Stegostoma tigrinum: one gene and its partner. The protein of the gene in region 2 interacts with the protein of the main gene of each other region in a pairwise test. Links are inferred from orthologs where the notes say so. Each region holds a gene or a part of one and is shown on either strand. Other genes may lie near its edges.

Region 1 (7,692 bases), on a different chromosome or scaffold from region 2:
TCTTAAAAAGCAGCTGCTTCCCTGTTCTGTGCAGTACACTAGAAGTTAATTGATGTAACTAATGCATGTTAAAAAAGTGAGACAGCCACTTATATAATTTAGCACTTGTCATAGTGATTTTAAGGTACTTCAAATTACGATATTTCTTGCTTTACCATAACTCAACATATCCAACTTTTTTTTTGTTAAATTAACACCACCATTCTTCTCTCAAAGACTCCTAATTCCACACAATATCTCACTTTGACAGTGACTACTCCTGGCCTCGGCGAGTGCCACTTTGTGATTGGTAAATTGGAGTTATATGAAAACCTGCTCTAAAGGCTCTGCTCACGTTTTGACACTTGATACAATATTTACTACAGCAGCTGAGACAATCCACAACTTTCCAAATAAGACAACTTACAGTATTCTTCAAATTAAAATCAATTCTCCCTGCACTGATTTTTTTTTTAATAGGCAAATAGACCAAGAGACAGGGTTGAAATATCACCTCCGTTGAGAATGGAGTCAAGCATGCTGCAGAATGTTCTCTTGTGACAAAAAAAATCAAAAGATTTCTGAATCCTATATCAGGCTAAACTCAAATATATCCGAGACTCCAAAAAATATCAGTTCATTTTGTACTTGCTTGCTGCTATGGAAAATTAACACCTAACAAGTTAGATGTAGAGGGGCAATTGGATCCAATCTAATTTGTGAACGTTCTGATTGAAATAACACCATGGAGGCCAGTATCCTGTCACTACGTCATCCTTTAATTTGCATGTAGAGAGGCCTTGACACCATCTTGGAGCCAGCTCTCAGAGTGAACAGAACCTTTGATTTTCCTATTTATATCTGTCAGCTGGCCATCTGATTGGGCCAGATTTAACAGCCCCAATCAGGGAACTTATATTCTATGAGGTCTAACTGGCTCACCTTCTTACAATCACTACACCTTTCCCCTTCTGAATCCAAGGACTTTATCAGTTCTTCTTTTTGTAGTTCCTCCTGGCACATTTTAGCACCAGGTACGACTCCGCTAATTCTTCCTTTGATATGAGCAGCACATAAGGCACAGTAGCTCACCTCTTGCACCCAGAGCATCTCAAAAGAAATTCATTCTCTTCTTCAGGCATCAAGTCTTCAAGGCAGGGGCATCCACCATATCCATCTCAGATTCCAAGATATCTTCAAATCTCCATAAAGCTAGAGATCCCATGGAAAGGCAATCAAGGAGCCTGGCACATTTTGCTCCTGCACTGAGTTTGCAACATTCCTATGTTTTACTTGCCTGATCAGGGCTGTTGCACCTACCTGATCTTTACATGCCACTGGTTCTGACCTCACACTGACAATGCCTCTTACCCATGCATGGCTGTTCCTGTGATTCCTAACCAAAATTTGACTCCTGAAGTAAACTGTCTCACTGGCTTAGCAGAGCCTTGTGATCAGAACTGCAGGGCATAGTTTAAAAATAAGGGCTTCCCATTTAAAACAGAGATGAGAAGGAATTTATTCACTGGAATTTTCTTCCCCAGCAAAGCTAGTCTTTGAATCTTTTTGAATTTATTATATAGAAGAGAGTGAAGGATTACAGGGATTACACAGCAAGCAAGATATTACTGAATGGCAAAGCAAATTCAATTCAATCTCAAGGGTTGAATGACTTACTCCTGTAGCTGTGTCTTATGACCTATGTTCCTGTTGCTGTTTCACTCTCACCGTCCCCCCAGGTCTGGGAAGATCGGATTTAACCTAGTGTGGAGTCTTCTCCCTATTAGAAACTTTGCCGGAACTTTCCCTGTAGTTGCATGAGGTGTGATCCTATAATCAAATAAGAACCAGGTCAGTGTGGCATCTAGTGAAGCTGTAGGCTGTGCTTTAAGTCTGTCTTCACAATTTGGACTGCTGTTTCTGCCAGACCATTGGATGATGGATGATATGGAGCTGTAAAATGCTATTCGACTTGAGGAAATACACAAATTTCCTGCTGGTAAACGATGGCCCGGTATCCGTGATCAATACTTCTGGGAGTCCATGTATTGCAAACAATGTGCACAGTTTTTCAATCATCATCAGGTTTGACAAATTAACTCCTGTGTGTCTCCAGTGGCTTTGTGTGGGCATCCACAATGGCTATGAACATTGAGCCCATGGAAGAACCTGCATAGTTGACATATTACAAAGTCGAGGCTTTACCTGGCCATCTGTTGGTAATTTTTGTCCTAACCACTCCTGGCACCGCAAACGCATGTACGTCTGCATCTAATCCTGGCCACTAGAGTTCTTGCCAACGTCTTTATTTTGGAAACTTCTGGATGACCCTGATGGAATTCAGCTAACTGTTGTCTTCAGATTCAGAGGGGGAGGAATGTGATGATTACCAAACTGACAACCAACAGAACCTCAGAGAAAAATCAAATTAACTGTGGATGCTGCAAATCAGGAATAAAAACAGAAGTTGCTGGAAAAGCTCAACAAGCATGGCAACATCTGTGAAGGCGAAGGCAAAATCTGAAGTTCTGAGGAAGGGTCACGAGACCCAAAACATTAACTCTGTTTTTGTCGTCACAGTTGCTGCTGAGCTTTACCAACAACTTCTGCTTTAGCACCTCAGAAAATATGAGTTTCCTGGTTGGGGTGTTAACCTAGTCCGATCAGGGAGCCTTGGCTAAACAGAAATGTGAGACTTTCTACTCTCTTTGCAGGTACTGGATCAGTGCCAAGAAATGTCCACGTGTAAGTGTAACGGGTGACTTGGCGATGGAGTACTGGCCTCTGTGGAGTTATTTCAGCTTAATGAAAAGCGGAAGTGACAGTTGACGAGGAGAAGGAGACGGCAAGCAAAGCATACGGAAAATAAAGAGGTAGAAAGTGAAAGTTATTAAGGGAAAAAGACAATTCTAGAATCCCACCTTTACCTTCATCACGAACACCAAGTAACAACGTGGCGGCGGCGGCCAGGCCGGCAAACGGCGGTTGGGACCTCCCGCCACCACCGCTGCCCCGCCCTCACTATGGCCACGCCCATAACCCCAAATGACCCCGCCCCACTCCCCACAGCGGCCCACTCTCTACTACGTCCCTCGCACAACTCCACCCCGCCCACTTCTGCATGCCACCACGCCCACCTCTCAGGCGTTCGCCCCGTCGAATCCTCACCACCTTTGCTCCGCTTCCTTATTTCAATCCCGGACCCTTCATTCTACACCACACCCCGTCCATGTGCCCCCCCCCGAACTAATGTCCCGTCTCCATTTTCCTCGGGGCCCTTCGCCTTGCTCGCTCCCGCCACCTTGTCTTGTCCCGTACCCCAGCCTCGATCAGGCCCCGCCTCCCCTGACCGGCCCCGCCCCTTCCACCACGGCTCCGCCTCCACCACCTCGATGCGCCCCCTCCTCCACGGCCCAGCCCCGCCCCTGCCGCCTCGGCCCCGGATGCACCTGTGCCTTTGCGGACAGTTGTGCGTCCAGTCGATGTTTTTGCCAAGGAGCTGATGTCGTTTGGCAGTCTCTGGGTGTTAGGGAGGCAGGGCCTGGTGCTAGTTAGGGTGACCGAGTTTCCAATGAGAAGATAATAAAATGTGAGGCTGAATGAACACAGCAGGCCAAGCAGCATCTCAGGAGCACAAAAGCTGACGTTTCGGCCCTAGACCCTTCATCAGAGAGGGGGATGGGGTGAGGGAACTGGAATAAATAGGGAGAGAGGGGGAGGCGGACCGAAGATGGAGAGTAAAGAAGATAGGTGGAGAGAGTTTCCAATGAGTTAAAGTTAGCAGAATGTGGAGGACTGGGTAGAAGCGCGTTTTGATTGGTCATTCCTAGAGTTAACAGGAAGAATGAGGATTTCAGCATCAGATCTGTGGCTCAGTTGGTGTTACAGAGGTGGAATTAAACAGTCTCAGTGCGAAGAGATGGTCAAGAGCTCACAGGAAGGGTTAAGTATAACATGACATGTTTACAAGCAGTTTTTTTCTTTATTCTTTTGTGGAATGTGTGCGTCATTTCTTGCTCATCTCAAATTGAATCTTCACCTCAGTGGAAAGGGCAGATAAGAGCAACCACATTGGCCAGTCTGCATAAGGCAGCTATTTTCCTTCGTAAAGGGCATTATTGAGCCCTGGGTTTTTAAGACAATCGATAATGGTTTCCTGGTCACTGTTACAGATGGCTAGCTTTGTTTTCAGGATTTATTAATTGAATTCCAATTCCAAGGCAGGGTTGAACCTGTGTTCTCAGAGTGTTAGCTTGGGCCTCTGGATTATTTGTCGAGTGACATTACCAATACCTTCACACCACATATGATCAAATTAGGAGCAGACACTTGTGGACTGCTCTGCCATTTGATATAATCGTAACTGTTCTCATTATGTCCTCAACTCTACTGTCAACCCCGTTTACCCTTTGACTCACTTGTTAACCAGAATCTATCTAACTCAGCCTTAAAAAATTTCAATGACCCTGTCTCTACTGGGAACGAAACTTCACACACTGACAGCTGTCATTCTGTTAACCGTTATGTTCTGCTAAGTTGAGCCAACTTAGATAAGTCCACGAGCCCAGTAGGCCAACTGGTAGTGAACATTTCTCCTCATCTCTTTCTTTGAAGACCCCCTCATTTGTAAAATGTTCTATATTTTAGTTTTGAAAGTACAGTCCCAAAAAGTGATAAATGTTTATATGTCACCAGATACCATTTGGAGAGTTTTCTACAGGTGCCCATATCAATTTTTAATGCGTGTAATGATGCTTTCAAATGTGTTTGTCAACAACACCACAAACCAATGCCTTTGTTCATACACCTTTTAAGAGAAAATTCCTTCTGAAATTTTCCTGCAATGTGAAGTTGGCAATTTTCACAAAGTCTGCAAAGAAACTTGATTCATAATAAAAAAAAATACAATTTGATTTTTCACTGGATCAGCTGAAACACTATTAGCTTGCAGCTGATCTCAGGCAGTGGCTATTTACAACAGTGAAACTTTGAGGCTTTTAAAGAACCCAAAGCTGGAATACAGCTCATCACAATCTGGTGCAATTTATGGAACAATGCTCCTGTCCCTAGAAACCAATCTTTTAGTAAAATGTTTAAATTTCAGAAAGATTAGTCAACATATTCATCATGGCTCTAACTTGCACCATGTAACTATCAAATATGATGTTGAAATGCCAGTGTTGGACTGAGGTGGACAAGGTCAAAACTCATATGACACCAGGTTATAGTCCAACACATTTATTTGAAAATGGAAGCTTGCATTTTCGAATAAACCTGTTGGACTATAAAAATAACAAAAGAACTGTGGATGCTGTAAAACAGGAACAAAAGCAAAGTTGCTGGAAAAGCTCAGCAGGTCTGGCAGCATCTGTGAGGGAGAAAACAGAGTTAACTTTTCGGGTCTGGTGATCCTTCTTCAGACCCTTTTGAGGAATGGTCACCAGACACTGGCCTCACAGCTTAGTCTATTTTGGCTCAACTTAGGAAAACAGAATGATTAATGGAATGAGAACAAACACAGTGCCATTGGGAACAAAAATAGAAGTTCCTGGAAAAGCTCAGCAGGCCTGGCAGCATCTGTGAAGAAAAATCAGAGTTAATGCTTTGCGTCCGGATCATTAGAAATAGAAAATGCTGTCCCTTTGCACTTTAGATTTCTAAATTTTTTCCCCGTTTAGAAAATAGTCCACAACTCTATTCTTCCTACTAAAGTGCATGACTTCATCCTTTCTTGCTGTTTCATTCTACAATACAGCTTTGGGATTGATTCATTGAATGATTGCTTTATTGTCACATTTAAAAGTGTAAAATGGTTATAACAAATGTTACAGTTAGATCTGCTGTCGGGAGCTCGCAAGATTTCATCCGGTGTTGGTATCATCTTGCATTGATGAGCAATCTCATCAGCCACGGTCATTTAAGATAACAAAGTGTGAAGCTGGATGAACACAGCAGGCCAAGCAGCATCTCAGGAGCTAAAATGCTGACGTTTCAGGCCTAGACCCTTCGTCAGAGCTCTCTGATGAAGGGTCTAGGCCTGAAACGTCAGCCTTTGTGCTCCTGAGATGCTGCTTGGCCTGCTGTGTTCATCCAGCCTCACACTTTGTTATCTTGGATTCTCCAGCACCTGCAGTTCCCATTATTTCTGTCACGGTCATTTCCTTTCTTTGTCTAATTAACGCATGTAACATATCTAAACTCCTGCTTCTTAACAAATTCATTAAACTAAAAGAATTAGTTTAATTTGGGTTAGCTGTGATCACAAAACTCAGTGAAGGTGGCTAGGTAGTGTCCACCATCTTTCTCCTGTATCTCACTGTTGCATGAGGTGTACTCCAATATAGGACATTAAAAGCGAGTGTAATTTACGGACGGGTTTTGTGAACCAGGGCTGCTTATGGGGATGCTGTTTGCCTGGGCATTGGCCCTCTCTCCCTGGAAAACATGGATGTGCACAGCCTAATTGTGCAGGTGATCAGCAATCAACACCTCTACCCTACAACCCCCATTATATGTCACGTGTGTATTGTCAAGATCCATTTGACTGTAATGCGTTCTGTCGATGAATTTCCTTTTTTTTCGCTAGTCTGGCTTGTGGAGTGCCCATGTGAGCAATGTGTACTGGTTGGTGCTTGGCATCTGTGGACAGTACACCAGTCTGTTGCCATATTAGAGACAGAAAGGGATAGAATCATAGAATCCCTACAATGTGGATGCGGGCCATTTGGGCCATCATGTCGACACCAACCCTCCGAAGACCACCTCACCCTGTCGCCGTAACCCTGCATTTCCCATAATTAATCCACCTAGCCTGCACAACCCTGGACTCTATGGGCAATTTTGCGTAGCCAATCCATCTAATTTGCACATCTTTGGACTGTGGGAGGAAACCAGAGCATCCGGAGGAAACCCACGTAGACACAGGGAAAGTGTGCAAACTCCACACAGACAGCTGCCCAAGAGTGGAAATGAACCCAGGCTCCTCTCTCTGTGAAGCAGCAGAGCTGACCACTGTGCTGACTTATGAGGGTAGTGTGTAAAAATGTCATTGAGGCAGGAGATCAGCCATGATCTAGTTGAATGGTGGAGTTCGCTTGATGGCCTGAATAGCCTACTCTTGCTCCTATGTTCCTATGTCATAGAGTGGGCAGGCCACAAAAGATGATGGGGAGGCAAAGCCCTGGTGGTGTTATCCCCAGGCTATTTTCACAGAAGCACAGGTAATGTTCTGAGGACATGAGTTCAAGTCCTGCAATGATAGATGGTGGAATTTGAATTCAATTGAAAAAAAAACTGGAATTAATAATCTAATGATAAACATGAAACCATTGGTGATAGTTGTGGGAAACCTGCCTGTATTATGGCTGCCCTTCAGGGAAGGAACCTGCTTCCCTAACTTGTCATGGCCAACATGTGACTCTTACTCCACAGTGATGTGATTGACTCTTAACTGCAGTCTGGACAATTAGAGATGTGTGATAAACCTAGATAGCAAGTGGTTCCCACATTTGTGAGTAAACATTGAAAAAAAGTGGAATCTCCATTGTTTTAAACAAAAATTCTAATTTTTGTTTGCATTGCTTGAGGATGGAAAATGGGTGCGGAAGACAATAGGGGAGGGGAGGGTCATCTGTGAAAATAGTAACACAGTTAAAATTGCTGCCCTTCCCCAGTCAGAGCTGCCAGATAGAAATTACAGCAGAATTTGGCTCT
Region 2 (7,557 bases):
TGGTTTGGCCGAAATGGGATTCCCTACACACAATACTGTTGACTCTTAATTACCCAGCAAGTAGCCTAGCAAGCCACATAGTTCAAGAGTAATTAGAAATAGCCAATAAATGCTGGCCTTACCACTAAAGTCTAAATTCCATAAAAGAATAAAAAGAGACGAAAAAAAATCAGTGTTCACCAAGTAACTGATTTAAAATCTAAGAGTCACTATCTTCACATTTATGTTCATGCCAATCTTACAAGTATAAACTAACTCATCTGTTTTCACTCAAGAAAAGGAGAATATTGTAGAGGAGAAGACTGAGTTATGGGTTATTAGAATTGAAAGGATTGAGGTTAGTAAGGAGGAGGTGTTATCAATTCTAGGTGTGAAGGTAGATAAATCCACCGGGCTGGATGGGATTTTTCTGAGGATTGTCTGGGAAGCTAGGGAGGTGGCGGCGGAGCCTTTGGCCTTGATCTTTGAGTCCACATTGTCTACAGGTTTAGCACCAGAGGACTGGAGGATTGCAAATCTTGTGCCCTTGTTCAAGAAGGGCAGTAGAGATGACCAGGTAATTATAGACCAGTGAGCCTTACGTCTGTTGTAGGAAAAGTTTTGGAAAGGATTATGAGGGATAGGATTTATAATCATCTAGCTAGCAACAATTTGATTGGAATAGTCAACATGGATTCGTCAAAGGCAGGTCATGTCTCACAAACCTCACTGAGTTTTGAGAAGGTGACCAAGCATGTGGATGAGGGTAGGGCAGTTGATGTGGTGTACATGGGTTTCAGTAAAGCCTTTGGCAAGGTTCCACATGGTAGGCTATTGGAGAGAACGCAGAGGCATGGGATTGAGGGAGATTTAGCAGTTTGGATTAGAAACTGGTTTTCTGTTAGAAGGCATCGAGTGGTGGTTGATGGAAAATATACAGCCTGGGGTCTGGTTACAAGTGGTGTGCCTCAAGGATCAGTTTTGGGGCCACTGCTGTTTTGTCATTCTTATAAATGACTTGGACGCGGGCATAGGTGGATGGAATAGTAAGTTTGCAGATGACACTAAAGTCGGTGGAGTGGTGGACAGTGTGGAAGAATGTTGCAGGTTGCAGGGAGACTTGGATAAACTGCAGAATTGGGCTGAAAGGTTGCAAATGGAGTTCAATGGGGATAAATATGAGGTGATTCACTTTGGGAAGAATAATAGTAAGGCAGAATACTGGGTCATTGGAAAGATTCTTGGTAGTGTGGATGTGCAGAGGGATCTTGGTGTCCATGTACATAGAGCCCTGAAAGTTGCCGCCCAGGTTGATAGTGCTGTTAAGAAGGCAAACGGAGCTGGGTTTTATTGGTAGAGGGATTGAGTTCTGGAGCCGTGATGTCATGCTGCAACTGTACAAAATGTTAGTGCGGCCTCACTTGGAATATTGCGCGCAGTTCTGGTCGCCCCATTACAGGAAGGATGTGGAAGCATTGGAAAAGTTGCAGAGGAGATTTACCAGGATGTTGCCTGGTCTGGAGCGAAGCTCTTATGAGGAAACGGTGAGGGACTTGGGTCTGTTCTCATTGGACAGAAGTAGGTTTAGAGGAGATTTAATAGAGACATACAAGATGATCAGAGGATTAGATAGAGTGGACAGTGAGAGTCTTTTTCCGAGGATGATGACGTCGGCTTGTAGGAGGGGGCATAGCTGCAAATTGAGGGGTGATAGATTTAAGACAGATGTCAGGGGCAGGTTCTTTACTCAGAGTGGTAAGGGCATGGAATGCCCTGCCTGCCAATGTAGTTAATTCAGCCACATTAGGGGCATTTAAACAGTCATTGGATAAGCATATGGATGATGATGGGATCACGTAGGGGGAGTGGGCTTAGATTAGTTTACAGGTTGGCGCAACATTGAGGGCCGAAGGGCCTGTTCTGCACTGCATTGTTCTATATTCTATGTTCTAACACAGGTCACAGGATAACTCAACCTGATGTATTTTTAGTTATTTGCCAAATCTGTAGAATCAACATCTGCTCAATGAATTAATACAAATAATCCGTATCCTCTTCCTCTCGCAAATCAAACTCTACCACTGTTTTACAAATAATAAGTACATTTTAACCACATTATCAATATTTATAACAGTTCAGTTTTATTGTAACCAACAATGCCTATATACTTTGTACCATTATCTTATTTTGTACAGATTAAAATAGATGATTTTACTCCTGCAAAATAATCCAGTTCAGGATTAATGTTGATTTCCACTAAAAGGACTGTTTATGAAGCAAAACTGTTCTCTGAATATAATATTTACATAAGCAAAGCAAAACAAACTTTGGTTTAACTCTTAATAAAATTTGGTGGCATATCGTATTTTGAAGCATCCGCCCTTCACCAAGAGCAACAAACACAATAACCAGACTTCTGTCCACACCGAACTCTCGCAATTCCCAATCATAAAATAAAACAATCACTCCGCAGTGCAGCTCTAACAGATTCCTCTTCAACAAGGTACTGAGAGCATCAAATTGCTTTGTATTAAATTACGTCGGTGCAACTTACCAAACACAGGTAAAGCCATTATTTCTGGAAATCCGGTCCTTTGCGGACTGCTATAATGCCCAGCCACTATTTCACACCCAGTCAGCCACCAAGCTCATAGACGATTTAGGACACTTTCAACCCTTCTGCTATACATAGGAAAAATAAATGAACCATTAATTACACATTTAAGACACCACCTCCTAACTTGTTAAGTAAAAATACCTTTTATTCCAAATAAAGGACAGTCCATACGAATAAAACAAGAAATGCTACAGGTTTTTATCCCAGCCCGTTTTCTAAAATTAAAACTAATAAAGAAAACAAATACCATAAATCAGCCACGAACCGTGAACCACAGACAGAATGAATACTGTGAAATTACAAATATTCCAGACCACCCTACATCCTCCGAGACGCCATTTTACCTCAGCACATGACCATCGCTCCCGACTGGTGCAGCCCGTCAATGCGGTAACCATGGTGACCGGTCTCCTCGGGAGCTCACCGAGCTCAGCACGCACCAACATCCAGCCATCCCGCATGGCAGCCATCACTACTGTGTCAACATCGGCAACGCTCTCACAGACAGGCCACCAACATAACAATTGAGACTAATCAACATGCTGTGCCGCAAAGGCACTCATTTTCAGGATTGCAGATGCGTGTCTCTTTATTAGTGTGGAACACGCGTGGAAAGATGATAAACGCGCCTGTCCCGCTCTTCAAGCCGCCGCCCCTGGATGAAAGCAACATCCTAATTTCTCAAGAGTCAAACGAGTTGTTACTGCTACTCATCTTTGTATAGAAAAGAACCTTTTAAAAACATTGTATCCAATCACAGCCTTGATGAGAATTCAGACACTAATAGGGTGACAGGTTTTCTGGTCCCCACTTTGCTAAATCTCCACCCTCAGAATATACCACCAATGATCTTTTACGAGGAAAGGCTTTTATTCGAAATCGAATGCAACTGAATCCATTCCAACTTGTGCAAGTACGTTCACTGGGTGGAGGTAATGCCGCTGGTGATGGTAAAATGCAATAAGGAATAACCTGCATATTGAGAACTGAATTTAGAGCTTAAAGGAGGGTGCAGAGGTGAGGAGAAATGAGACCAGATATGAATTTATACACAAATTGGAAGATTTTGCGCTGGGCACAGAGGAATGGGGGGTATATTGCGATCAAGGTTATGATTCACTCGAAGCGTAGAGAACTGAATGTCAATAACGTTCTGGGCCATTTGAAGTTTGGGTTCGGTGGAGCAACGCGATGGTAAGAAAAGGTTTAGAAGTGTAAATTCTGAATTCAGTTTAGACATAAACAACCATTTCATTGTTGAGGGGAACAGAATTGATATTTTCCAGATAGTAGCAATTGGTCTCGATGAAACTTGAAGTAAAATTCAGCAACTAGCAAAATGGGCAGTGCGAGGTTGGGATTGAGAAAGGAGTTGTAATCAAGCAGTAAACTGGAGAAATTTTGCTGGATGGCTAGTAGAATGACTTTGGTCTTCAACTGACTTCAAAAACACTTCATTTTCTGCAATTAGATGTCAAACTGTAGATCAGACAGTGATGGAATAGTTGTAAAATCAAACACAAGAGTGAGGCAGTAATGCCAAGTACCATTGGCACACAAAAGGGTGAAATTATAGTTTCCCTGATACTGCTTTTGAAAACAAAACAAGTGATAAAATTAGGACTGGAAAAATTGAAAAGCATATAATGTGAAATTTCCAGAAACCTCATCTGCAATTTTAATTTGTATGAATAACATTGAAAAATCATTTTCATTTATTGGTAATCCTTGTCTAAAGGATTTTCGTAAGAGTGAAACTCTGTATGCCTTTTCTTGATGGAAGAAAGAATTTGAATTATGAAGTAGAGGATACTGGTTAAAGTTGTCTTGAAAGAAGTAAAATAGTATTGAATTTATCTGGTGCTTTTCACAGTCACCGAATGCCGTTAGTTGCATTACAGCTAATGAGATTCCACAAATGGGATTGTGGGAGATACAGCAGTTTGGATTGGAAATTGGCTGGCTGAAAGAAGACAGAGGGTGGTAGTTGATGGGAAACGTTCATCCTGTAGACCAGCTACTCGTGGTGTATCACAAGGGTCGGTGTTGGGTCCACTGCTGTTTGTCATTTTTATAAATGACCTGGATGAGGGCATAGAAGGATGGGTTAGTAAATTTGCGGACGACACTAAGGTCGGTGGAGTTGTGGATAGTGACGAAGGATGCTGTAGGTTGCAGAGAGACATAGATAAGCTGCAGAGCTGGGCTGAGAGGTGGCAAATGGTATTTAATGCAGACAAGTGTGAGGTGATGCACTGTGGTAGGAGTAACCTGAAGGCAAAGTACTGGGCTAATGGTAGGATTCTTGGTAGTATAGATGAGCAGAGAGATCTCGGCGTCCATGTACATGGATCCTTGAAAGTTGCCACCCAGGTTGACAGGGTTGTTAAGGTGGCATACAGTGTTTTCGCTTTTGTTAATAGAGGGATCGAGTTCCGGAACCAAGACATTATGCTGCAGCTGTGCAAAACCCTGGTGCGGCCGCACTTGGAGTATTGCGTACAGTTCTGGTCACCGCATTATAAGAAGGATGTGGAAGCTTTGGAAAGGGTGCAGAGGAGATTTACTAGGATGTTGCCTGGTCTGGAGGGAAGGCCTTACAATGAAAGGCTGAGGGAGGGACTTGAGGCTGTTTTCGTTAGAGAAGAAGGTTGAGAGGTGAATTAATTGAGACGTATAAAATAATCAGAGGGTTAGATAGGGTGGATAGGGAGACCCTTTTTCCTAGAATAGTGATGGCGAGCATAGCTTTAAATTGAGGGGTGAAAGATATAGGACAGATGTCAGAGGTAGTTTCTTTACTCAGTCAGGGAATGGAACGCTTTGCCTGCAACGGTAGTAGATTCACCAACTTTAGGTACATTTAAGTAGTCATTGGATAAGCATATAGATGTACATGTAAAAGCGTAGGGTAGATGGGCTTCAATTGGTATGACAGGTGGGCACAACATTACAGACCCTTCGACCCTCACTGTGCTGTAATGTTCTATCTTCTAAATGCTGCCCAACATATTACTTATTTTCAGCATTTATTCTTTATTTTACCCTTTTAATTGTACCTCAAAACCTCATCTCTCAATATAGCCTCTATGTAATCCTTTGACTTTATCATCTTTACTCACTACCAAAATTCTCCAGACCAGGTTTTTGTCTATTGTGTTTTGGCTTTTAAATGCAAGTGTTCCATGCGCCTTCTTGACCGCCTTATGTACCTGATTAGCCACTTTCAAGAGTCTGGTTATGCTTTCCAAGCTCCCACTATTCCTCTATAATTATCAATATCCTGTCTTTTATTGTACATGTTCTCGCTTTATTAGCCTTCCCCAAATACATTACCTTAGACTTCTAAAATAGTGGTTGCATTTGTGAAATAGCTGTATTCAGCACTCGTAAGACTGGTTATAAAAATTCTATCTTAACCCATAATGAATTTTATATACATACTTACAATTGTGTTTATATAGTGATTTGTGTCCCTCCATACTAATCTTTTGTTTCATTATATTGGCAGGGGATATGGCAAGGCATCTATTTTCTCCATGCTATCTGCCCAAACCACAAGTATACCTGCAGGCCTTGTTCTTTGGTTCCACGAAAGCAAAAAAAAAAACACCAGTAACTTTGCTCCCAAAACCCTTTGTGTAAAAAAAAATTATGGATTTTACTGCTTCTTTGAATGCAAATTGTAATTTTCCTCACTACTGAATCCCTAAGATGTAATGTTTTCGTGATCTTTTCTCTAAAAGAAGATCAAAAATCCTACTCATTTTATTGAATAAATGAAGCCAGAAAATTCCACAGCTCAAGTCAAAATAATTTTTCACTGTACAAGAGTCAAGGCAAATACTATTTATATTTTTAAACCCAGAAACAATATTAGCTATTAGATCACACCTTATAGCCTATAGGTCATCAACCTCAAATCACAAAATCCCTCAAAGTTCTGTCCTCCTCAAAATAATTTCAACTGCTCTACTTCTAGGATTTAGCCTGATCCTCAAATCAGCAGAACCTGATCTGAGTTCCATGCTCAGTTGTCAGCAAGAATGCACATTTCTGCATAATCTCTTCAAATCTACTGCAAATGTTATGGAAGGCTCAAATCTATCAAGTTTATGTGCATGTAAACAGAAAAAGCTGCATCAACTGTATCCTTCATATTCTCAGTTTCTGGATCTAAACTATTCTTCAGACTGCTTGACTAGACTCATCATCATCTATTACTAAGCTCTGATTGGAACTCATGTTGTTGAAGTATATTAAAATGAATATAGGATTGACCATCTAATAGAAGGGTTGGGAAAACAGCATCATTTTCAGGATGGCAACTCCTAACTAGCAGCACAGAGATCAGTGCTGGGGCCCAGTTATTTACAATATATATGAATAACTTAGATAAAGGAATGAAGTTCTCAAGCCAGGTTTTCGGATTACATTAAAAATGCATGGGGGGGGTATGACAGAGGGTGTACAGAGGAATGTAGATAGGTTAAGCAAGTGGGGAAATCTTGACCGATGTAATATACAAAACAGATTCAAATGTGACACATTGGATATTATGTACACAAGGGGAAGTAGGCCATTTGCTCTTTGAACCTGCTCCACCATGCTACAAGATCATGGCTAAAATAACAGTGGCATCAACCACTTCCCTGGTTATTCTGCAAGCCCCTTGATGCCTTTGTTAATCAATAAGTTAGTCTATCCAAAACATAGGAGCGTGTTACTGCAGATGCTGGACTCTCAACTGAAAACAACAAATACTGGCAATCACGGCAGATCATTAAGCATTCATGGAGAGGGGCAGAGCAAGTTAACAATTTTGAGTCTAGACGACTGTGCATAAGAGCGGAAGTGAAATGTGGAGGGGACAGAATTTGCGCTACAGTTTGGGGGGGGGGGGGGGGGGGGGCACGTGCGTGGGGATAGTGGGTGCAGGGACCACCGTCACCCTATGCCCA

Evidence for each region. The genes of interacting proteins can lie anywhere in the genome.
Region 1: the proteins of chn1 (region 2) and hemk1 interact in binary tests that used the Homo sapiens proteins (3 or more experiments, as listed by UniProt). The two-hybrid records come from large-scale screens. The link is inferred for Stegostoma tigrinum from reciprocal best matches to the Homo sapiens genes CHN1 and HEMK1.

What each region holds. Positions count from the first base shown.
Region 1 is NC_081364.1:10,136,081-10,143,772, forward strand, and holds the start of hemk1 (MTRF1L release factor glutamine methyltransferase), read right to left. Parts: upstream 3,008-7,692; 5' UTR 2,907-3,007; intron 1-2,906. UniProt on the Homo sapiens protein: N5-glutamine methyltransferase responsible for the methylation of the glutamine residue in the universally conserved GGQ motif of the mitochondrial translation release factors MTRF1, MTRF1L, MRPL58/ICT1 and MTRFR.
Region 2 is NC_081360.1:47,220,144-47,227,700, reverse strand, and holds the start of chn1 (N-chimaerin), read right to left. Parts: upstream 3,018-7,557; 5' UTR 2,941-3,017; exon of another isoform or gene 2,844-2,940; intron 2,662-2,843; 5' UTR 2,553-2,661; coding exon 2,534-2,552; intron 1-2,533. UniProt on the Homo sapiens protein: GTPase-activating protein for p21-rac and a phorbol ester receptor. Involved in the assembly of neuronal locomotor circuits as a direct effector of EPHA4 in axon guidance.